Linked DNA regions of Ovis aries. The protein of the gene in region 1 interacts with the protein of each later gene in a pairwise test. Links are inferred from orthologs where the notes say so. Each region holds a gene or a part of one and is shown on either strand. Other genes may lie near its edges.

Region 1 (7,213 bases):
CAGAGGAGGCTGAGAGGTTCAGGGAAGAGAGAAAAGAGAGGCCTGGTTGGAATCTCTAGATGTTTCTCATCTCCCCAGGTCCCCCTGGCCCGGCCCCGGATGAGTGCTCGGGAGCAGTTGGAGAGAATCCGAAGAAATCAAGAATATGGACGGCCTCTCCCTCGCCCAGCCTCCCCCCGGCTCCTCACCCTGGGGAGGACGCTGTCCCCAACCAGACGCCAGCCTGATGCGGAACAAAAAGTGAGGGAAACAGGGGTGGGTCAGTGAGGCGGCAGTGGGTTCTCAGTTCCTGGTTGGAGCCTCAGTTTTCCTCTCTGTAAAATGGGGATTTTTTTCCCTTCCTCTATATCAGGTTTACTTGTCCCTGTTTTCAATTCAGCATCCTGTCTCCCTTATCAGTGGAGAACAGGATGGGCCAGAGGCAACATCTCCATCCTCACCAGCATTCTCACTCCTCTGGGAGGAGTGGGTTTTAGAGCTGGATTGGAAGCCAAGTTTTCCTGTTCAGTTACTATGCTATCAAAGGCAAAGAAAAAAAAAATGTATTTACTGCCATGGAGATCACACTGCCAATCTGAAGATCAGACTGTCTGGGCAGGATGGTTTTTTCACTTGTTTTTTCGTTTTGGGCTGTGCCACTGCGCAGCTTGTGGGATTTTAGGGCTTGGGTTCAGTCCATGTTTGAGGACTTGGCCGTGGGAGTGCGGAGCCCTACCTGCTGGACCACCAGGGAATTCCCCATGGATAGTTTCATCTTAAGACTCTTCTAGGAAGGAATTAGACAAGTGGGGTGATTTTGGGGTTGTGATTGTTTTTGTAAATGGGGGGCATCTCAAGTCTGCTGAATATCAAACATTGATCTCTATGTCTAGCTAGTTTTTCGGGGGCAACAAGTTCATTAATCATTTATGACAAAAGGAATGTGAATTTGGAGGGTCTGTTTCTGGCCTCGTCACAGGGGGCTCATCTGTGAATCTTGTCGATGAAAATTCTATTAAAATCAAGTTAACAAGAAAAAAGGGGACTTTTATTTGAGCCAAACAGAATTAGAACTTGGGAGAGAGACTCTCAGAAAGTTCTGAGAACTGTTTCACCATCTGTTAGAAGTCAAGAGGCACACTCGTGTCTGTTTTCCAGACAAAAGATCGAACATCAAAATGACATACTGACAGGACTTTCCTGGCAGACCAGTGGTTAAGAATTTGCCTTGCAATGCAGGGGACGAGGGTTTGATACCTGGTCTGGGAACTAAGATCCCACATGTCTCTGGGCAACTAAGCCTGTGCGCCACAACTACACAATCTGCTGTTGTTTAGTTGCTGAGTCATGTACGACTCTTTTGCAACCCCATGGACTATAGCCTTCCAGGCAATCTTCCTGACCCAGGGATGGAACCCACATCTCTGTTGAGCAAGTAAGTCTCCTGCGTTGGCAGGCAGATTCTTACCACTAAGCTGTCAGGGAAGCCCCATGCACTGTGACAAAAGATCCCACGTGATGCAACTAAGATCCCAAGTGCCACAACTAAGACTTGATGCAGCCAGACAATTTAAAACAAACAAAGAAGCAAATAACATAGTGATATTTTACCTAAGCTTCACCAAGGATACATAGTCTAGGGAAGCACATGCGAAGCCAGCAGCAAGTTACTGTGACCCCCTGCAGAACTGTGAAAGAAGCTGTTCTTTTAAGAAGTTACACTGGTAGTGTCAGAAGAAAGGGAAAAAAGAAATGATCTTCAGAACAGAGCAAGCACTGCCAACTCTGAGGAGCTCTGGCTAATGTGTAATCCTGGTGTACACTGCACATTAGGGATGGAGGAGCCCCAAACAAGCGCGCAGAGAGACTTTGATCTTTAATTTTCCTGTCCTGTCTTAAAATATCAATTTCACATCATTCAGGCTTATCTAAGTCATATGAAGAAGCTGTTTACCAGAATGCAAAAAGGCGTGGGGAAGTGGTTGGGAGGGTGGTAATTTTCCAAACTCTTCCCTCTTTCCCAGGAGTTCAGGTAAAGTTAAGAATTAGTGTCTTTGGGGCAATTTTATCCTCTGAGCCTCTTCACCCTCAAAATGAGAACATGGGAACTTCCAGGGTGAGGAATTCTAATGCCCCCATTCCTTTGCAGCCTGTCCTGGGACACTCAGGAACCCAGAAATGGCTCCGAAGTTCGGGGTCCTGGAGCAGGTAAGGAATTGGAGATCGAGGCAACAACGAAGGGAAATAAAAAAGAGAAGGGGAATAGTGTTACTGTTAATGTCTTTTGAGTACTAAAGTACAGATCGCAGAATCTTTTAGAGTCGCTTGAGTTCTTGGGGAATCAGAAAACTCTAGTTCGCGGGGAGAACTGCAGTTCCTTGTTCTATATCAAACTCCGCCCCGCTGTCAGGAAATCGGAGAAATTTTCGGGCAACTGAACTACAAATCCCACAATGCACGCGGGCTTCTAAAAAAAGAGGGTCGCTCCACGTTTAAAATCCTTTAGAGACACGTGCTAGGGACTACAACTCCCAGAAGGACACGCGCGGCACTGTGGCCTCTACTGTACTGGCTAATCGAAGTTTCGCCCAAACTCTCTTTTTCTAGTCCAAGAAACACCACCCCTTATTTGCTGACATCCGAAGGGCACCGGGAGCGAGTCCTCAGCCTCTCTCAAGCCCTGGCCGCTGAGGCATCGCAGTGGCGCGGAATGATGACAGGTGAGAATGAGCTGGGGACTTAGGACTCCTAGGTTTTAGGGATGAGGAGGGGGGGGGCGGGTCGGAGGTCTGGAATCTCAGGTCGTGATGGGGAGGGGTCTGAGGGCCCCTGGGAATCCTTTGTCTTGATGAGGGAAGACCTGGACAGGGCTTGGGAGTGCTAGATTCCAGGCAGGAGGGGGCTAAGGTGCAAAAGTGCTGAGTTTGGGAGAGCAGGGGGCAGGGAGGCCGGACTCCTAGGTTTGAGAGGAAAGGCCTGGGGGCGGAGGGCGGTGTCTGGACTTCTGGATTCCTGAGTTTGCCATTCTCATTTCCCATCCGTCCTCTCCAGGTGGAAATTTGGACTCTCGAGGGGACCCTCTCCCCCCTGCGCCGCCACCTCCGTCAGATCCCATGCCCCAGGCGTCCTCACCCCGAAGATCTCCAACAGCCAATTCCTGCTCCACGGGTTTCTCCCCCAGAGGTAGTGGGCGCGGCGCAGGCCCCGCCTCCTGGGAAGAGACCTGGGATTCCGGGCCGGCCCCTCCCGCCCTGACCCCTGACGAGGGGGCGTGGCCTCTGAGGGTCACCCTGCTGCAGTCCAGCTTCTGACGCGCCCAGACGTGGCAGCCAATCAGAGCGTGAGGGCGTGGCCTGGCGGGACCACCTGAAGATCTGCAGCCTCTGTTCTCCCGTGACCTAGAAGTGGTTTCTGTGGCCAAAGTTTGCTTTTCCCGACACTTGTCCAAATTTAGATTAAAACTTTGAACTTTTTAGTCAATAACTTTTTGTCTGTTTGAGGTTGTGACTCTGGTGTCTCTGAGTGGGGGTAGAGCTGGGGTCGTGGATTTCTGGGTCGCAAAGGAGGAGGGGACCGGGACCTTGGACTTGTAGGTCTGAGGGAGGAGGAAATCTCAGGGTCCGGAGTACTGGGCCTGAGGGAAGAGGGGGATGGGGACCTGGATTCTTGCGTCTGAAGGAAGACGAGGGACCTGGACATTTAGGTCCGAGGGCAGAGGGCGGCCGGATGCCAGGAATCCTGAACTTGAGGGAAGAAGGTCTGGGCATCCAGACTCTTGGATCTGAGGGAGGGACCAGGCTTCCAGGCTTCTGGCTTTCCTGGCAACGCCCCCCACCCCCACCCTCAGGGCCGGGCTTCCAGGATCCGGCCCCTGTTTACGATTTGACCCCACTACCTCACCCGATTTTGGAGGTGGACAGAAGCCCGGAGTGAGTGAAAGAGGAGAGGCGGTGTCCGGCAGAATGGCAATGGGAACGCGCTATGCTGGGAAGGTGGTCATCGTGACCGGCGGCGGTCGCGGCATAGGAGCCGCGATCGTTCGAGCTTTCGGTGAGTGGGGTCTGGCTGGGTCTAAATGTTGGGAATCTGGGAGAGGACGGGCCTCCGAGGGCTAACTAATGGGTGTGAGAAAAAGTAGGTCCTATACTGGAGTCTAGATTCTTATCTTACAAGATCCTATTTGCAAAGTGAACGAAAAGGTAGGCGGTAGTTGCCTAGGGCCTGAGATTTTGGCAGGTTTCCAAACACCGTTTCTGTGGTCTCAGCTGTCTCTGCAAAACAGGCAGTTTGGGGGACGATGTCTCTTGCAGATTTCGGGTTTACTCTGGAACCCAGGAAGGCAGACTCAGGAGCCCCAACAGGCACCTAGAATAACCCAGAAGAGTATCTGTCAAAACTTCTGCCCTCTGTCCTAGGGAGTCATCATGAGACTTTGGGGTCACGAGGGGAGCAGAGTGGGAGACGGGCCCAACCCGCTGTAAGTGGCCCCTAGAGGGCAGCAGAGGCCTTCGCCAAGGTCGGCTGGGGGTAACCTCTTCTTTCTTATTCTCAGTGGAAAGCGGTGCCCAGGTGGTTATCTGTGACAAAGATGGTGAGTGAGGGTCCCTCAGTCCTCATCCCCAACCCTCCAGGGGGATTCCAGGCCCCCAGACCCCTCCTCTGATAGACCCAGGAGTCCAAACCCCTGGCTTCCTCCTCCCTCAGACCCAGGATTCGGCCTCCCAGCCCCCTCCTCCCTCAGACTCTGAAGTCCAGACCCCCAGCCCTTCTCTTCCCGCAGAGGCCAGGGGCAGGGCGGTGGAGCGAGAGCTGCCTGGCACTGTCTTTCTGCGCTGTGACGTGACTCGGGAGGAAGATGTGAGGGTGAGTGTATTTTCTGTCTCTACTACCCGCCATGTCCAGTTGGTTCTCTCTCCCCACCGACCCCCTCCCCTGGCCGCCTCGAAGGCTTTTGCACTGGTGTTCCCTCTGCCTTTCCCGGTTCAGCTCAGTATCTCTTCAAGGCTCTCCCTAACTGTACTGACCAGGTCTTGTGTCTCCTGGGAGGATTTGCTTTTACCTCCCGCTCTTTCAAGGCTCTGTCACAGCTGTCACGGGGATTGGGACAAATACATTCCTCACAGGGGGTCTCATTCTTGCAGGATTCTTTTCTCTTTCCTCACTTTCCATTCCTTCCGTCTAGTCAGTATCTCTGACATCTGTCTCCAGTCCCGGGTCTCTAGGGTAGTGACCACAGTGTGAATGTCACCAGCCCGCTGGGCTCCAGCCCCTCAGCTGTGACTCCTGTCCCCACCTCACCTTTGGGACCCCTGGCTCTATAAGACCTGATGCCAGCACCACTCACTCAGAAGACCTCTCTCTCCCCAGACCCTCGTTTCTGAGACCATCCGCCGATTCGGCCACCTGGATTGCATAGTCAATAATGCTGGCTACCGTGAGTCATGAGGCCTGAGGGCCGTTCCCCACTGGTGTCAACCCACCTCCTGACTTCTCACCCCAAGCCTGGCTCTACCCCTGCTGTGTGCTCCCCAGCCTGTGCCCTTAGTCCTATCTGCATCCATTTCTACATTTCTAAAATGAAAATGACCATTCTCATCATCGTTATAGGGTCGTTGTGCTGAACAGTGTAACTGCTCAGCCTCATAATTATGGGAACTGTCTTGGATGAATAACTTCCATCTTGTAGCCTGTTTCTTATCTAGGAAGCAAGGCTGATGGCCCTTCTCTTTTTCCAATACTGGGAAGATGTATTCTCCACACATGGTTTCTAGGGCTTGGTGTGGAGGCTTTGAAGAGAAATTGCCATCCACTTAATGACTACCCTTTATAACAATGCCTCATATTGCTAAACTGAGACTCAGAGAGGCGAACTGATTGGACTGGAATCACACACTGTGGTAGAAAGAAGCCTTTCTTCTTGGCTGGGCAACGATGAGCAATTGACTTCCTCTTTCTGGGCTGCACTGTCCTCTTGTAAGGATTTAAAGATATACTCCTCCTTTCTCTCCGTGTGCTTGATCCATTTGGCAGATATTTCTTGAGCATCTACTGCACTCCACCTTCTGTCCTAGGGACTGGAGATTTAGCAGTGAGCAAAATCCACCAAGCTTTCCTGTCTTCATAGCTCAGTTGGTAAAGAATCTTGCCTGCAATGCAAGAGACCTGGGTTTGATCCCTGTGTTGGGAAGATTCCCCTGGAGAAGGGAAAGGGTACCCACTCCAGTATTCTGGCCTGGAGAATTCCATGGACTCTATAGTCCATGGGGTCACAAAGAGTCGGACGCCACTGAGCGACTTTCACTTCCTGTCCTCATGGGATTCACATTGTAAAGTAAGGAAATAGACAATAAGAGGCAGATATAGTTAATACTCATTTATTCACAGATTTTGTATTTGTGAACTCACCTACTTGGTGGGGGTGTGGGTTGTAACCTCAGAATCCCACTGCGCTTTCTGGGTATTTGTGGACAAGTTCAGAGCGGCAAAAGTTTGAGTCACCAGCAGCACATGTTCCCAGCTAAGGTCAAACAAAGTGATGCTCTGCCCTCTGAGTTCAGCTTTCAAAGAGATGCCGGGAGGTGGAGACAGAAGAGGGCAGTGTCTTGTAGGCCTCCCTGGGGCTAGTTGGACAGGATTGAAGCCTAACTCTGGTACCTGGAGTGGGGCAGCCTCAGGCAAGTCAGCTACACTCCGGAATCTCCATTGCTTTATTTGCAAAATAAATGAGTCCACCAGTGCGCATTATTTTGAGGATTTAAGATTATAATCTATGTTAGAGAAACATATAGTTGTAAACATATACATATGTGCATATATGGTCTTCCCCTGTGGCTCAGCTGTAATGCTGTGCAGGAGACGCGAGAGACTCAGGATCAATCTTGGGTCCGGAGGATGCCCTGGAGGAAGGCATGGCAACCCACTCCAGTGTTCTTGCCTGGAGAATCCCATGGGCAGAGGAGCTGGTGGGCTACAGTCCATGGGATCCCAAAGAGTTGGACACGACTGATGCGACTGAGCAGGAGCACGCTATTCATTATACACATAACACATATATGTCCTGTCTTAGTCTGCTCATGCCGCTATAATAGAAATACCATGGACTCAGTGACTTAAACAATGAACATTTATTTCTGGAGGCTGGGAAGTCCAAGATCAAGTCAGAGGCAGATTTGGTGTCTTGTGAGGCCCCGCTTAAGGTGGAAGGAATGAAGGGCCTCACTGGGGTCTTTTTTAT
Region 2 (7,028 bases), on another chromosome or scaffold:
ACAGGCTTAGTTGTTCCTTGGCATGTGGGATCTTCCTGGACCAAGGAAGATCCCACATGTCGCACATCCCCCAAACCCAAGTCCCCTGCATTGGCAGGCAGATTCTGTTTTTCAAAAATGATTTTATTTTATTTTTGGCTGGGCTGGGTCTTCACTGCTGCACGGACTTTTCTCTAGTCGTAGTGTGTGGGCTGCTCACCGGTGGCTTCTCTCGTGGAGCGCGGGTTCTAGGGTGCACAGGCTTCAGCAGTTGCAGCACGTGGCCTCACTAATTGCGGCTCCTGGGCTCTAGGGCACAGACTCAGTAGTTGTGGCGCATGGGCTTAGATGACCCAGGGCATGTGGGATCCTCCCAGATCGGGGATTGAACCCGAGTCTCCTGTGTTGGCAGGCAGATTCTTAACACTGAGCCACCAGGGAAGTCTCACAGTGTTGCTTTTTCTGCTCTCAGCCTGGGTCCGCTTCCCCTCCCCCCTGGCTTTGCCCTGTGCCTAAACTGCATTGGGTCAATTCTCTTAGAACGTGCCATCTTTCCCACTGTCCTGGACCACCTGATCTCCCCACACACATACACTGTCCTGGTCACATCTTTGTCCTGAGCCTTGTTACTTCATTCCTCCCAGGCTGTGCTTTCTTATTCCCGGGAGTTGTGTTATTTATGTTCCCCTGGCCCCAGCCTGCTCTGTCCCCCCTACCCTGGGCCACCTCCTTTCATCCCTTTCCAGGTCCGATACATGAAGATCATTGAGAAGAGTGGTTACCAGGCCCTGCCCTGGGTCCGCTATATCACCCAGAGTGGCGGTAAGGTGGCCCGGCTCCCTGAGATGACAGGGACAAGGAGATGAATGGGCATGGTCTTGGGGCTTTGAAACATCTTGTCTCAGAGAGCTCCAAAACCGACAGGCGTGGCCCTCAGGTCTATCCTATCTTTGTCAGTGTGCCCTCCCGAGTCTCGGTTTGCCTATCTTTAAAATGGGGACAGTTGCCAGTTCCAGGGTGGTGGTGGTGGGGTTTGGATAAGCAACTGAACACACAGCAGCCCCGTCTGTTGCCTGGAGACAGGCATGTTGCTGTGGTTACAGTCGCCATGTTTGAGCCCATCCTTAGCCCTGTTACAAACTTGTGGGGTTGATCATGAGCACTGGGGAAGGGGATGGGTTGTGGGTGGGGGTGCTGTCCTGTCTCCTTCCCCCAATTCTGAGATGGTCCCTGCTCATTGTTTCCCTACAGATTATCAACTTCGTACCAGCTAGAAGGGAGAAGTGGGGGCCTGAACCTGGGCTGTCTTCTCCCCAGGCCCCACTGCAGCCTCCACTAAAGAAGGAGGGAAGACGGGGTGTGTGTGTGTGAGGGCAGCTCTTGAATTACTGGTTTGTTACTCCCAGCACCTGACTTGCTCCTACCCATTTCCTTTACTGGTAGGCTGGGAGTGATAATCTCCAGCTCTCAGACTCTCACCCCTCCCCCTCCCCCAGTTTTATATGAAGAAATAGAAGAGGGGCTTGAAGTCCCCCTCATGAGTGCCTTTTTGCAGTGACCTGCCTTAGGAGGCGTGGGGAGTCCCTCCTCCACAGCTGCTGAGCCCAGAGGCCCCACTGGTCCATTTCTGAGTTTTAGGATGGCATTAAAAAGATGAATCTAGCTGCTGTTATGTACTTTTTGGCTGGGGGCTGGGGATGTCAGAGGTGCCCCTGGGGTGCTGGGAAAAGAGTGGGCAACATATCCATTTCTCAGCCCTGGTCATCTCTCAGCTGGGCCCTCGCAATTGCTCCCACCTTGGGCTCCCAGGCTCTGGGCTTCCCTCTCCCATGACAGCCAGTTCCCATCATAGCCACCAGAGGGCGCCTATTAACTCCTAAACTAGACCGTGGCTCCTCAATACAGAAGCTTCCCAGGGTTCCACCCATTGATTTCTGTCGTTTTGAGCAGCTTGAGGGACCGTAGTTCCCCGACCAGGGATTGAACCTGGACCCCCTGCAGCAGATGCGCGGAGTCTTAACCACTGGACCGCCAGGGAAATTCCCCATTCTTTTTAAAAAGTAAAAGTGCTCACCACAGCCCACACACCTGTTCACCCCTCACCTCCTCCCCCTTCTCTCCCTCTCTATACCTCGCTCTTCCTGGACTTACTAGACATGGTTACAGCTCAGGGCCTTGGAATCTGTAGCGCCTCCACCTGGTATGTTTTTCCTGAGAGACACACGGCTCCTTCCCTCACCTTCAGGTCTCAAATCAAATGTCACCTTCTTAGGGTGGCCATGCCCGACCTCTCTATTTCAAAGCCTTCTTTTCCCAAGACACCATTATTTATCTCATTTTGTCAGCTCCACAGTGTATAGCACTCTGAAAATATTTATTGTCGTCTCCAGCTCTAAAAGGTAAGTATCCAACAGTCAGGAGGCACCTGGCTTGCTTTCTACTGGGGTGCATAGTACACAGTAGCAGGTCGGTAAATGTGTGAAGGCCCCGCTATTGAAGGCCTCTGTTAAGAGCCTGCGACGCGACTCTCGCCTCCCAGTCTCACCCACGTGGCAGCTGGTGAATGAACTTTCTTCCACACCCTTGCATTTGCTGTGCCAGGGCTGGCGCAATCTGAGCCAAACGTGATTCCTTTTTCACTCACCCCATTTCCATGCTTTATTTTCCTCACGGTGCTTAACACTAAAATTACTCAGTAGCTCGAATGCAGGACCCCCAGCGCCAGGAACGGCTCCAGCACACAGTGAGTGAATGAAATAAAGCACTTTGCACAGTAAGAACTAACGAATATTATCGCACCGCATAACTCCAAACTGGGCGGTCCCAGCCCTGCCTCCTTTTCCCTCGGAAGTGCCGAGGTCCCGGAGCAGCCCGCGCTACCCTGCGCCTGACCTTTCTCCCCTGGGTCAGTTAAACGGGCCCTCTTTCCCGCCCGCCCGTCGCTTTTGAAAAACCGAAAACCCCGCCATTGTTCGCGGTTCACCGGTCGCCGCAGTTCGTCCAATCAGAAGCGGGCCCGCCCACGCCGGCGCCCAAAGCCTCCCTGGCAACGCGTGGCCATTGGCTGCGCTGGCAAGGAGGGCGGAGCACTACAGGGTCGGGAGCCGGGCATCGCAGCTGGGCTACAACGTAGCAAGTTCATAAGAAAACAAATCCGCGGAGTTTGGGGGCGGGGCCGCGAGAGCTCTGGCTCCGCCCCCTAGCGGCCTGCTCCGCAGCGGCGGAGACGCTGGCTCAGAACAGACCCCGCCCGAAGAGGAGGAGGGAGGGTGAGTTGGGGGGAGACCCGGCCCCCAAGGGGCGGGCGCCGGGCAGGGCCCAGCGGGCTAGCGGAGGGTTGGGCCTGGGCTCTCAGCCCCTCTCTACCCACCGGCTGACAGGGGGAGGAGCCGGCCGGGAGGGCGGGGGTCGCGCCCGAGACCCGGACAGGAGAGTCCGACCTCTTTGCAGGCCGGCGACGCTGCGGGAGGGCTGTTCGGGCTAGCGCCGGTGGGCTCCCCCTCACTGACCGCCGCGGGGTGGGGCGGGGGGCTTCGCAGGCCGCCAGTATCGACATGCTGCTGGAAGAGGTCCACGCCGGCGACCGGCTGAGCGGGGCGGCGGCCCGAGGAGACGTGCAGGAGGTGCGCCGCCTTCTGCACCGCGAGCTGGTGCACCCAGACGTTCTGAACCGCTTTGGCAAGACGGCGCTGCAGGTGAGCCCGGGCAGGCCCGCAGACCCCTTCCCTCTTCTCTCCTTGTTCCCGTTGGTAGCCGACTGAGGTCTGTTCCTGCGTCTCTGGGCTGACTTGGCTCCCTAATGTCCCCTTTCTTAGGTGGGTGGTGGATGGGGTTAGGTTGGGGGGAGGGGAGAGCTTTCCATCTTTGGAGGATTCCTTGTTCTCTGATTGCGAAGGATTCAGTTTCCCTGGAGAAGTTCTTATTCCCTGGGTGAGGGTTCACCTTCTTTGGATCCGAGTTTCATGAGGGCAGCTCCAATGTCTTGGAGCATCTATGGACGATCCGACCGCAGGAAGGAAGGATTCCTGTTTCCAAGGTGTACCCATTTTCAGGGGGTTCTCTGCGAGGTATCCAGTTTCCTGTGGGGGAGAATCTCTATTCCCGCGGGGTTTTCTTACTGGCATATTTGGGGAGGGGGATACCAATAAGGGAGTAGTCACAGATTACATGGGAGTCCGTGTTCCCTTGGGGACATTTACAAAAGGGGAACCCCATTTCATCAGAAAGGATCCCTACTATATGGGAGGGGGAAATTCCTTGGAGGAGTTTTAAATTCCCTGGCCATCTCCATTTCCTGGAGGGGACTGTTCTCTGAGGTCTGTTTCCTGGTGGGGTTCATAGTTCCTGATGATTTCCCATCTGTGGGGAGAAGTGTCTCTGGTTCCTTGGGGGAGGGTCTTAGTTTCCTTCAAAATTTCCACGGGGGTATACCCTAGCGGGGGGCGGGGGGTGACCAGTTTTTTGAAGTTCCTTATTCCCGGGAGATCTTGTTCTCTGGGGTCTCAACAGCTGCCTGAAAGTTTTTGTTCCCCGGAGTTTTTCCTTCTCTTGAGAACCTTGTATCTGGCATTGTCAACCCCTCTCTCCAGTCACCCGTTTCCCCAGACCTCCTCCTTTGGAGACTCCCTGACCCTTCTCTACCCCCATCCCCCCACCAGGTCATGATGTTCGGCAGTCCCACCATTGCCCTGGAACTCCTGAAGCAAGGCGCCAGCCCCAACGTCCAGGACGCCTCGGGCACCACTCCGGCCCACGATGCAGCCCGCACTGGATTCCTTGACACCCTAAAAGTGCTGGTGGAGCACGGTGCCGATGTCAACGCACCCGATGGCACCGGGGCGCTCCCCATCCACCTGGCAGTGAGAGAGGGCCACACCCCTGTGGTCAGCTTCCTGGCTGCCGAGTCTGATCTCCATCACAGGGACGCCAGGGGGCTCACACCCCTAGAGCTGGCACGGGGGAGAGGGGCCCAAGAGCTCATGGACATACTGCAGCGGCACACAGTGGCACCCCTGTGACCTGGGGCCACCCACTCCAGCAGCAGGACCCAGCTGAGTTCTGTGTCAGAAGAGGGAAGAAACACTTTCTCCTTTTGCTCCTCCTGCCCGCGGCCGAGGGGCACCGGTTTGTGGCTTGTTGGTGTTGATTTCTGGGGTGTGTGTGTTTGACGTGCATTTCTCGTTTTTTTTTCTCACCCCTTTCGGTGTGTTGGGCAGAGAAGGGCTCCTAGAGGCAACAGCCACCTGAACGGTTCAGTTTCCTCCACGCCTACAGACTGAGTCCCAAGGGCAGAGCGTTTAAAACCCCAGCCCTCGAGAGTGAGGGAGTGAGGTCATCTCTTCCAAGGCTCTTGGAACCTGTCGACCTTGGCCGGCTTACGGAGAGAGACCTCAAGTGTGCACACTGCTTTCCGGCATGGGGGAGGGGGGAGTGTTCCAAATCGATAAAAGGGTAGTATGAGTTCATTAATATTTTGTTGAAAGCTTCATTTCCAGTCCCTTTGTACAGCGTTTAAAAAAAAGTCTATTTATTAAGCTTTATAGAAAATATTGTTGTGTGTGTAATTTAATGTTTTTACCCATTAAATTAAGACTTGTGCATGACCACAGCTCTAGTGGCTTGTCATTTTTGATACGCGATGGAGAGTCGCGTATCCTGGATGTTTGTGGGGATGGGCCCTGGGGGTCGAGGATCGTGGATGCTTTGGAGGAGGGGAGAGAGTGGTAATTCCCAGGGCGCCAGGGGTGAGTGAGTTGGGTGGGGCAGCGGTTTACGCTGTCGGAACGGAAGGGAGGCAGGAAACCGCGAGTGGAGAAAGGGCCCCCAGATGTCAGCTGGGTGCCGGGAGCCCCGAGGGTGGGGGAGTGGGATGGGCGGTGGCTGCAGCCTTCCCCGCAGAGGCGTGGCTCGTGGGCGGGGACTGCGGTCCCAGGGCCAGGGATCCCGGAAGGGCCCGGGGCAAGGTTCTGGGCGGCCCAGGAGGCTCCGCCCCTATTTAAAGTAAACTGTGCGTAGCCCCGCCTCCAGGGAGGCGGTGCTTCCCTGACGCGTGCGCAGTGGGTCGGAGAGCAGCCATGCCGGAGCCGCGCGGGTCGTCGCCCCTGCGGGTGAACGCGGCGTTTGCGGCGAGGTACGGCCGCTACCGTGAGCGAGAGGAGCTGCAGCGGCGTGAGTGCGGGGCGCATGCGCGTGGGGAGCCGGCGCCTGTTGGGGAGTCTGCAGGTGGGCCTTGATCTGGTCCCCCAGGCTCACCTGGGTGGGGGGCTCGCATCTTTGTCCCACAGTGAAAGATCGCTACGGAGACCGGCGCAGCGGCAGCGACTCCAGCTCCGAATCTGATTCCAGCGACGAGCACGTGGTGAGCTTCTCCGCCTCCGTTCCGGAGTTGCGGGAGGTGTCCAGGGGCGTGTCTCATCCTGGCCCGGACTTACAAGGGGCAACTAACCTCCAACCCCATTGCGCCTTCAATCCCTGACAGTCTAACCATTTCTCCCTGTCTGCCTCTGTTCCCAAAATGGGGCATCCCTCTGCCACGTGGAGCACCCAGCTTTTCCCCACACCAGCTCTGATCTTCCCAGACTCACTGAGCCATCCATCCCTTCCTTTGTTTTTCATATGCCTTCGCTGCCACCTGCCCCTGTATCATCCATCCCGTATTGATTCCAGGAAGTACCACCACCCCCTTGCCTGCTACCTTTTTTTGCTTCCTATTCTCTACTCGTGTGTGGTCCACCCCCACGGGGTCCCCTTGACCCTCCCTCCCACTGAGATCCAGCCCTCCAGCCCTCCCCCAACCTTCCTCTACCCAGCTGGATTCTCCCATCTTCTAACCTGTACCCCTCCCTACACCCTAATTCCCACACTCTCAGCCCTTCTGCCCCTGTGGCTTACTGCCCCCATCACAGCCCGCTTCTGAAATCTGTCCCCACCCCCTTTTTCTGCTTTAGGAATTTGACCCTCAGCAAGAGCGTGACTTTTACAGGACTCTCTCCTTGTTGAAGAAGAAGGACCCCCGCATTTATCAGAAAGATGCCACCTTCTATCAGCAA

Evidence for each region.
Region 2: the proteins of HSD17B14 (region 1) and CDKN2D interact in binary tests that used the Homo sapiens proteins (3 or more experiments, as listed by UniProt). The two-hybrid records come from large-scale screens. The link is inferred for Ovis aries from reciprocal best matches to the Homo sapiens genes HSD17B14 and CDKN2D.

Annotation. Positions count from the first base shown.
Region 1 is NC_056067.1:55,185,649-55,192,861, reverse strand, and holds the start of HSD17B14 (17-beta-hydroxysteroid dehydrogenase 14), read left to right. Parts: upstream 1-3,453; 5' UTR 3,454-3,568; exon of another isoform or gene 3,569-3,891; 5' UTR 3,892-3,941; coding exon 3,942-4,029; intron 4,030-4,531; coding exon 4,532-4,570; intron 4,571-4,759; coding exon 4,760-4,842; intron 4,843-5,346; coding exon 5,347-5,413; intron 5,414-7,213. Other genes in the region: PLEKHA4 (pleckstrin homology domain-containing family A member 4), read left to right, coding at 79-240, 2,129-2,187, 2,587-2,699, 3,031-3,290. UniProt on the Homo sapiens protein: Catalyzes the NAD(+)-dependent oxidation of L-fucose, yielding L-fucono-1,5-lactone, which rapidly converts spontaneously to L-fucone-1,4-lactone. Can also act on D-arabinose and L-galactose, with lower catalytic efficiency. Does not use NADPH.
Region 2 is NC_056058.1:12,922,040-12,929,067, reverse strand, and holds CDKN2D (cyclin-dependent kinase 4 inhibitor D), read left to right. Parts: upstream 1-3,195; 5' UTR 3,196-3,248; intron 3,249-3,518; 5' UTR 3,519-3,533; coding exon 3,534-3,674; intron 3,675-4,637; coding exon 4,638-4,997; 3' UTR 4,998-5,587; downstream 5,588-7,028. Other genes in the region: protein KRI1 homolog, read left to right, coding at 6,054-6,147, 6,264-6,337, 6,927-7,028. UniProt on the Homo sapiens protein: Interacts strongly with CDK4 and CDK6 and inhibits them.